2 linked regions of the Yarrowia lipolytica genome follow. The main gene of each other region encodes a partner of the protein of the gene in region 2 in a complex. Links are inferred from orthologs where the notes say so. Each region holds a gene or a part of one and is shown on either strand. Other genes may lie near its edges.

Region 1 (3,912 bases), on a different chromosome or scaffold from region 2:
ACCTAGTGTTTGGTATGGTCTCTGCTCTTAACTTGTTTTTGATCATCTCTATTGCCATGGGTGCTGACGTTCCTCTATAACGGAGTTGATCACTTTTATTATAATATATGAATGAGTAACAACGAGATATAGCTACGAGTAGTACCGTAGCGTGATTCGTATACAGAGATGACAGTGGAGCTCATGGCTGTACAAAAGCGTTGTGCGCTTCCTTAAACCAGTTATTTCGACATTAAATGCTCCTTACACACATCCACTTCTTAACATACGTATTAGTCTAGTTACAGCATTGTAATAGAGCCAACTTGAGAAGCGTGTAGAATCAACTACTTAATTTACATACAACTACAAGTACGTACAAGTACAAGTACATACAGTACAGTATGTACTTGTGATGCTACCCGTCGATCTTGACCTATTCTAGCTGACAGCATTTAGATTGTTTCACACCCCGGAAAATTACTAAACATACATTATCCTAACTAATACAGGTCCTGGCAGCCCGTGCCAGGAGTCACGCCATGGCGTCTCCCCCAAATATCACCGTTCTATCTCACCCATCTACCGCTTAGCCCGTCGGGTCTTGGGACCAGAAGGTAGACGTCCGACGGAAGAAATGGGCTTTGGAGGTTCAGGGGCCGGCAAAACACCCAGATAGTTTGTTTTGAGAGCAGGGATGTTAGTGGAAGGCTTGATCTTGGAGTTAGCAATGTCGATGCCCTCGGTGGATTGCAGCAGCCGTCCCAACACACCCTCGATTTTCATTGCAAGCCGTCGCTCCTCAAACGACACTGGTGGAGGTATGTCAGGTGTGGCCAAACGGTCTGCCTGGAGTTGTTGCAGTTGGAGCATGAGTCTGCTGACAAACTCGAGCTCGGTGCCAGTTTTGATGGCTTCGAACTCGTCGTCGTCAATGAAGTTTCGAGGGTGCCATTGGAGAATGTCTTCCATGGGCAGATCCTTGGAGGGGTCGACATCTTCATCTCTAAACAGAGGCTGGAGGTCTTCCTCTTCCTCTCCCTGTCCCCCCTTCTCCTCTTCCTCTTCCTGTCCCTCCACCTTAGCCTCAGTCGCGTCATTCATCTCCACGTCGTTAGTATCCTCCTTTTTGGTGTCGTTCTTTCCAAGAGCGTCGTCGATGGCGCTTTCTCGCAGTCGCCCAACCTTCTCGTACCACAGAGCTCCGGTTGAAGCGGGGTCGTAGACGGCCTTACCACTGTCGCTAGTGGGGGCAAAGGACGAGTTTGCGTCCATCCGCAGGAACCGGCTGGGCGCCAACTCGGAGCCGTTGGGGTGCACAAAGTGCGTCATCATCTCTGTCGGAGGCAGGGCTGGGTGTGGAAGTCGCGACACGGCAGGTGTGAGGTAGCCCAGTTGGTAGGCCGGAACCGACCGGGTACGTGGCAGTACGTTGGTTACCTGGAACGCGCCCGGGGTTATACTTGGGCGCGGGTCGATGGCCGATTTGGTGGACAACGTCGAAAACAGAGGTCCATTCTGGCCCATGACCAGAAACGATTCTGCGCTCCACGACTCCAAGTCCGCAGTCAAGTCGGCGTAGTCGGCCACGATTTCCTCCTCGAACTCCGTCACGTCCTCGGGTACCACATCCTCGGGGTCCTTGCCTCCAAACAGGTCCATCCGCGAGCCTTCTCGGATGATGAGGGCTGCGGCAAACTTGAAGAACCGGTCCACCTCCAGATACTTCTCCGAGCCAATTGGCAGCGCCACCAGAGCCTGGACGGCTGCGGTCTTGACGTCCACGTACAAGTTGCGCACCGAATCATACGCCTTCTCGGATACCGAGGTCAGATCAGCAACGTTGTGTTGGGCATAGCTTGCAAGCACCGACAGGTTTGTGGACTGAGGCGACACCTGGGGCACTGCCTTTGTGGAGAGCACAGTCTTTCCGACGGCGTCGGCTAGCAACACGTCCAAAATGTCTTGTATGAGCGACATGTTGTCTTTGTGTTGGTGTCTGGGTTCGATGAGATGTGTGGTGATTTTTGTTCGACGTGATGAACGTTCCGACGTGTGGGTGTTGACTAGAGTATGACAGAAACCATACTCCAAAAATTAGCTTCGTCATGTGACCCAGCCAAGAGACAGCGGTGTATGAGATGGCGGAGAAGAAGTGGAGTGGCTATATTAATTTCTGTAAATTTGTTTCGACGGCGAATAATCCACTTAGAATTGCTTTCAAATCTTTAAACCTATTCTAATGCCGCCTTGTATCGACGTCCTGCTTCTTCCGTTGTATGGCAAGCATGCATACAACACTCATCTCTTCATACTCTTATCTAGTACGGGTACGAGTACACATCTCAGCACACCATGGACGACTCGGACGACGACTACATTGAAAACATTAGTGGAGACGAGTACCAGGGTGCCCCTCGGCGGTCGCGACGAAACCAGGCCCCCAAGGGCGCCGGAGGCTCGGTGGAGAACATGAAGATGGCCAATGGAGGATACTCATGGGAAGACGAATACCATAGATCTTGGGACGTCGTGCAAGAGGACGAGGGAGGATCGCTGGCAGGCTCGGTGGCGGGTCTTGTGGAAGCAAGAAAGAAACGACACATCAAGGATGCAACTCCGTTCCAGAGAGGTATCATTCGAAACCTGATTTTGGTGCTCGACTTTTCGTTTGCCATGAAAGAGTCCGATCTCAGACCAAACAGGTACCAATTTGTCATTAACCATGCCATTGAATTCGTAACCAACTTCTTCGACCAGAATCCCATTTCTCAGCTCGGAATTCTGGGCATGAGAAACGGACAGGCAATCAGCATATCGACATTGGGCAGTAACCCCAACGACCACATTAACGCCCTGACGGCAGCCAAAAAGCTCGAGCCTCAAGGTGATCCATCTCTTCAAAATGCTCTTGAAATGGCTCGAGGTCTGCTTTTCCATGTGCCTTCTCATTGCACTAAGGAGGTACTGGTTGTTCTGGGTGCCTTGTTGTCGGCTGACCCAGGAGATATCCACGTAACCATCGACAAGCTCGTTATTGACAAGGTCCGAGCCCGAGTCATTGGTCTGGCGGCGCAGGTGGCGATCTGCAAGGAACTGTGTGTCAAAACCAACTTTGGAGACGCTTCATACTATGGTGTCGTGCTGAACGAACAGCATTTCCAGGAGCTCATGGACGAGGCTACTACACCCTTGGCAGAGTCACAACAAAGCCAGAGCGCCAATCCAGCATCCCTGGTGCTCATGGGATTTCCTTCAAAGGTTTCAGAAGCAGCTCCCTCTCTTTCGGCCTCCGATGCAGCTCTCACACAAGGTGGATACGTCTGTCCGCAATGTAAGGTCAAGGTGTCTTCACTCCCCACAGTCTGCCCCTGCTGTGGTCTCACACTTATTCTGTCCACCCATCTGGCCAGATCGTATCACCATCTTTTCCCCCTGGCTCCATTTATTGAAGTCCCCTGCAAGAACGCACACAAGTCTGAATTCTGTGCAGGCTGTCAATCCAAGTTCCCAGTGGTGGCAAGAGATGCAAAAAACATCCAAGCCGATGGCTCCATGACGTCACGGTATGAGTGTCCCACCTGCCACTCTCATTTTTGCATCGACTGTGACGTCTTCTGCCACGAAATTCTACACAACTGCATTGGCTGCCAGGCACGCAGCTACTCTCTCTACCAGGTGGTGGTCACCAAACACAAGGATGCAGCTCCTTCTCTTAAGCTGGTGATGAAGCGGCCCGATCCAGACGGAGAGGAGAGCTCTAGACCAGTCAAGGTGAGGGTAGTTAATGATAACGAGGGTCCAGCTTGGAATGAAGGAGGACAAGCTCCTACCTGGGGGGAGTAATTACAAATGAACAAGGCTATAAATCACTGGGTGCCTTCTCTTTCGGGCACATGTATACAATACCAATACGACATAGATACATAATTC
Region 2 (4,088 bases):
TCGGTAGTCGTATTCGGTAGTGTACATTGGGGCGTTGCCAGGTCCAGCCAGGGACCCAGTACAGCGGAGTTGTGATGACTAATTACTTAGTAATCCGCAGAAAACTAAACAGCTACTCCTGGGCTTTTGTATGTAAAAAACCGACTACTTCTGGATCTTTTCAAACTGCTGCTTTTTCAAGTATCTCGTTAGAAAATCATGAATTCTCAATATTGGTCAGATTTCAATAAAAGCAGCACCAATCGAAAGCTGGAGCCTCGCAAGTTTCAATGACACACTCCATATCCTCATACAAGTAGCATTATCCCGAATTGTCAATTTAGGTAGTCCAAAGTCCATCCAAACCACTCCACGTTGGTGATGATTTAATGGGACAAAGAGATCACGACAACCGGCCATGCTGTTGTGGTTACCAATCTATATCCATACTAAGCAATACAATTACAAATACATACATCTCCGTCTTTGGGTTAGGGTGGTTGTGGGTATGTCGAGCAGGCTGTCAATTCCAAGTCGTGTCGAGACGAAAATGCGACGAGGACCGTCCCGACAAGATCACTCTCGTCAAGACTCTTCCGGACAAGCCTTCTGGACAAGCCCCTAAGGAAATGCCCGTCTAGGCACTCCAGAACTTGAACAACTCAGGTCCTCCCAATGACACCGGCTTCTTCTCTCGCACCTCGCCCTCATCGCGCTCCTCAACGACGCTCACCTTGGGGTTGCGAGCGGCGATTCGAGCCGCCTCTGCTGCCACCGCCACCGCCTCGTCGCCCCCAAGCTGGGTCGCCTCCTTGAGCTTGGCCAACACACTGTCGGCCTGCTTCTTCAACGACAAACGGTCCAGGTACAGCTGCTGCCGCATCTTTTCAATCTCTTGGCGCTCCAGCCGCACCGTTTCCTCCAGCTGGTCGAACCGGGACATTTTCAGCTCGATTTTGGCTATCTGGGTTTCGGCCAGCGACGAAACGAGCGTGGAGGCGTCGGAGACGGCCTGGCCAGCTAGCTCCTCCGCCCGCTTGCTCATTAGCTCTCCGTCTCCTTCCTTGAGAACCTTTTTGATGGCGGATGCCAGCACCGTGGACTTGTTGGAGTCGGAATGGGCCCGCTTGACGCCCTTTTCTCGCTTCACCAGGTATGCGTCTTCAATGGGCATCTGGATGAACTTGATGACGCAGGCGTCACGCTGACGGGTGCCGACATGGTCGCTTATGCTGTCCCAGTCGTCCTCAAACATCTCCACGCCTTCCAGAAGCAAGAGGGTTTCCTCGTCGGTCCAGGGGCCCTGGGCCGTCGAGTTTTTGATGCGCACAAAGTCAGACGCCTGCTGGGTGGCCGGGAACAGGCCCTGTTCGAACGCGAGTTGCGCCACCGCCTGCTTGGACCGCAGGTTGTGGTACCGCACCACCGATACGTCACCGCCGGTGGTCTGGCAGTGGTACGCCTTGGACGCGAGCACGTTCTGCGACTTTGTATTTTCGTCCTGCAGCGACGCGGCGTCGGCGGCCGACGAGTAGATGTTTCGTCGAATCTCCATGTTGATTGAGGGGGGAGTGGAGTCGTCAAGCTCAGTCGAGGTCGCAACGTAGGTGGAGTCGCCGTCGGTTCCCTTTTCGGGGTCCTCCTGGCCCTCGGAGAGCAGGCTCTTTGCCGGAGGTTCAAAAGGCTGGAGTCCCCGGGGGCCATCGACCATCACCTTAAAGTGGCCCGTAAACTGGGGGCCCATCAGAGACGGCCGGGTGTCGGGGTCCACCTGGTAGTTGATCAGGCCCCACTGTTCCAGAAACGAGTGGACCCGCAGCAGGGTGCCGACGTCGCCGGCGAGGTTGCGTCGGCAGGCGGTGAAGGTCAGGTATTCGACGGGGTTCAGACGGAACGTGTCGACCATGAAATTGCGGTACTGCGTGTAGATGGCCGGCGACTTTGTGCGCGACACGCCCGAGAAAAACTCCGGCAGCGACTTGCGTTCAATGTCGTGGATGCCGTTGCGGTCGAACCACGTGGCAAACGACGGAATCACCACCCGTTGTGTTTGTTCCGCCAGATACGCCCGAGCCTTTTCCTCGAGCTTCGCCTCTTCGGCCGAAATCGCATCTCCCGCGTCGTCCCCGCCGCCCTCCACGGACTCCTCCTTGTCGCTGGGCTTTGTGTCGTCTTTCTTGTCGGACTTGGTCGCTGTTTGAGCCGTGTCGTTGTGCGCGCCTCCAACCTCACTGCTGTCGGGCTTCAGATCGGCGTCGTTGGCCTCAATCTTGGCGGTCTGGGCGCCAATCGACCCATCGCCGTTCACGTCGGTCATGGCCGCGTCCGCTCCGGCTTCTACGCTCTTGTCGCTCATTTTGTACTGTGCTGGAAACGTGCTGTAGGTGATATCACCAATCTACGGTGTGGGAGGAAGGTGTCAACTAGGTTTTACCCGGGAGTGAAGGGTGAGATGTGGGTGAGGTTGTGGGTTCGATTCCGGGATAAATCATTGTGATTTATTGACGATAAGATCACGTGAGAGTACGTAATGGAGTCAGATTATGACTATAGCCACTTGCTTGGACCTTTCGATGAACGGTTTCAGTCACTCAATTGAGCGATACAAGGAGCGATCCAAGCTGCAGTGTTTTTTCCTCTTTTTCTTCCGAATCGACTAGAGAGCACTGGCGTGACCATGATTGACGTGAGGGTATGTGTCTTCAGGCAGATATGTCCCTTCTGATGTCCCTAATGCAACTTCTCGGGCGACGTTCTCCATACTACTCACTCTGATTGAAGAATGCATTGATTAATACTGTACTATGAATCATCCGTCTACCAGCGACAGGCAAGCGTTATGGAGCTGGCTAAGAAAACTCGGGCTCAGGAGAGCCGGCAGAAGGAAGGGAAGGGGTTGTTTCCAGAGCAGGTCCGTCAACGAGGAGACTCGGTCAAAAAGGCGACGATTTGCTGGTCTGGAAATAGCCCCTTGAAGAGAGAATGGGTTGCTGCTAGCAGGGTGATTGTTGAAAAGACTGTGTGAAACCGCATCATGAGGGTGGAAATGAGACTCTGGCGCCTCGTGCATGTCTGAGGCCGTCTAAAACCGTCTAAAACCGTCTCTTTGGAAACGTCACTCGGTCTATTCAAGCATGAGAGTACTTAGAGCAACTGAATACAGCACAGTATAGACACGGTCCCTATGGGTTGGAAACCATCAACTTGTCCTCCTCAAATGATCGGTGTAACTTCCGCACAGAGCTAACACAGCTGCGTGGGCAACCGAGTTAGTTACAAGCCAGTTTTGAGCCAGTTTTGAGCCAAATGTATGCTTGTCGCTCATCTTCGCACCGAGATCCACGTCCGAAGACGATATCTTGCCAGGAGACCGAGAGTGCTTGGGCCTCAGAGTGATGAAAGGTGTCTTGTAAGCATGTATAGCTCTCGACGCAAGTTGCTCTCGACAAGAAGACATCTATGGCCAGTAATCCAGAGCGAGTGTATCACCCAATGGTAGTCTGATAGAATGGCTGGAAGAGGTTGAAACCGCGTCAACCGAAGAAGAAAGATATGTTTCGTTGATGAACAGCAAGAATACGAATGGACAACAGAGTCCACCTGCATGTATTTGAGCACTTGTTCGTTTCGTTTGCAGAATAGAGCCACAATGCCTGGTGATGAAGCTGATACGAATGTACCATGGCATCCACACACAGGCATGGACCACGTATTATCCAGTCATGTCCTCAGTTCTTCAGCTGGTCGAACCAATGAGAACAGTGGATTGAGACTTGCGACCAATGACCTGAAAACCAGTGATTAACCATGACCTGACCCGACTTGGGCACTGCCTGCAAAGCGACACAAGATGGATATCGTGAACCGGATACAGGTTGTGCTGAATGGCACTCAACATTCTGTACAAACACTCGACTGTTGCTGGTCTCATCCATCCAACTTGACCTTTCCATAGTCTTGTCAAACCTGAGGTCCCTCAGACAGAACGCCGAAAACGAGATCACGAAAGGAAACACGCAAAATGGGTTCAGGATGGCCACTTGCAACTAAAAACGTTTCAGAATCGAAATCGGAAGAAAATCGGGGTAATAGGAGAAAAAAGTCACACC

The links.
Region 1: the proteins of YALI1_F06670g (region 2) and YALI1_D35394g are in contact, whole or in part, in a cryo-EM structure (PDB 6V8O), measured with the Saccharomyces cerevisiae proteins. The link is inferred for Yarrowia lipolytica from reciprocal best matches to the Saccharomyces cerevisiae genes RSC8 and RSC58. Residues at the interface, in NP_116695.3 of Saccharomyces cerevisiae: Thr229, Asn233, Val234, Tyr235, Asp236, Gln239, Phe241, Ala243, Glu247, His255, Tyr258, Ile259, His261, Cys263, Glu266, Ser267, Ile268, Asn269, Val270, Arg271, Tyr272, His273, Asn274, Leu275, Arg276, Ala277, Arg278, Asp279, Ser284, Phe292; in NP_013133.1 of Saccharomyces cerevisiae: Arg137, Asp167, Leu172, Asp173, Ile176, Ser177, Tyr178, Asp179, Phe180, Ile181, Lys182, Ile183, Ser184, Met185, Asn186, Tyr187, Thr188, Val189, Pro190, Ile191, Leu232, Pro233, Thr235, Asp236, Ile237, Glu238, Glu240, Ile387, Ile388, Lys389.

The regions. Positions count from the first base shown.
Region 1 is NC_090773.1:3,537,419-3,541,330, forward strand, and holds YALI1_D35394g (uncharacterized protein), read right to left. Parts: upstream 1,960-3,912; coding exon 562-1,959; downstream 1-561. Other genes in the region: YALI1_D35356g (uncharacterized protein), read left to right, coding at 1-80; YALI1_D35398g (uncharacterized protein), read left to right, coding at 2,335-3,825. UniProt on the Saccharomyces cerevisiae protein: Component of the chromatin structure-remodeling complex (RSC), which is involved in transcription regulation and nucleosome positioning. RSC is responsible for the transfer of a histone octamer from a nucleosome core particle to naked DNA.
Region 2 is NC_090775.1:664,740-668,827, forward strand, and holds YALI1_F06670g (uncharacterized protein), read right to left. Parts: upstream 2,336-4,088; coding exon 617-2,335; downstream 1-616.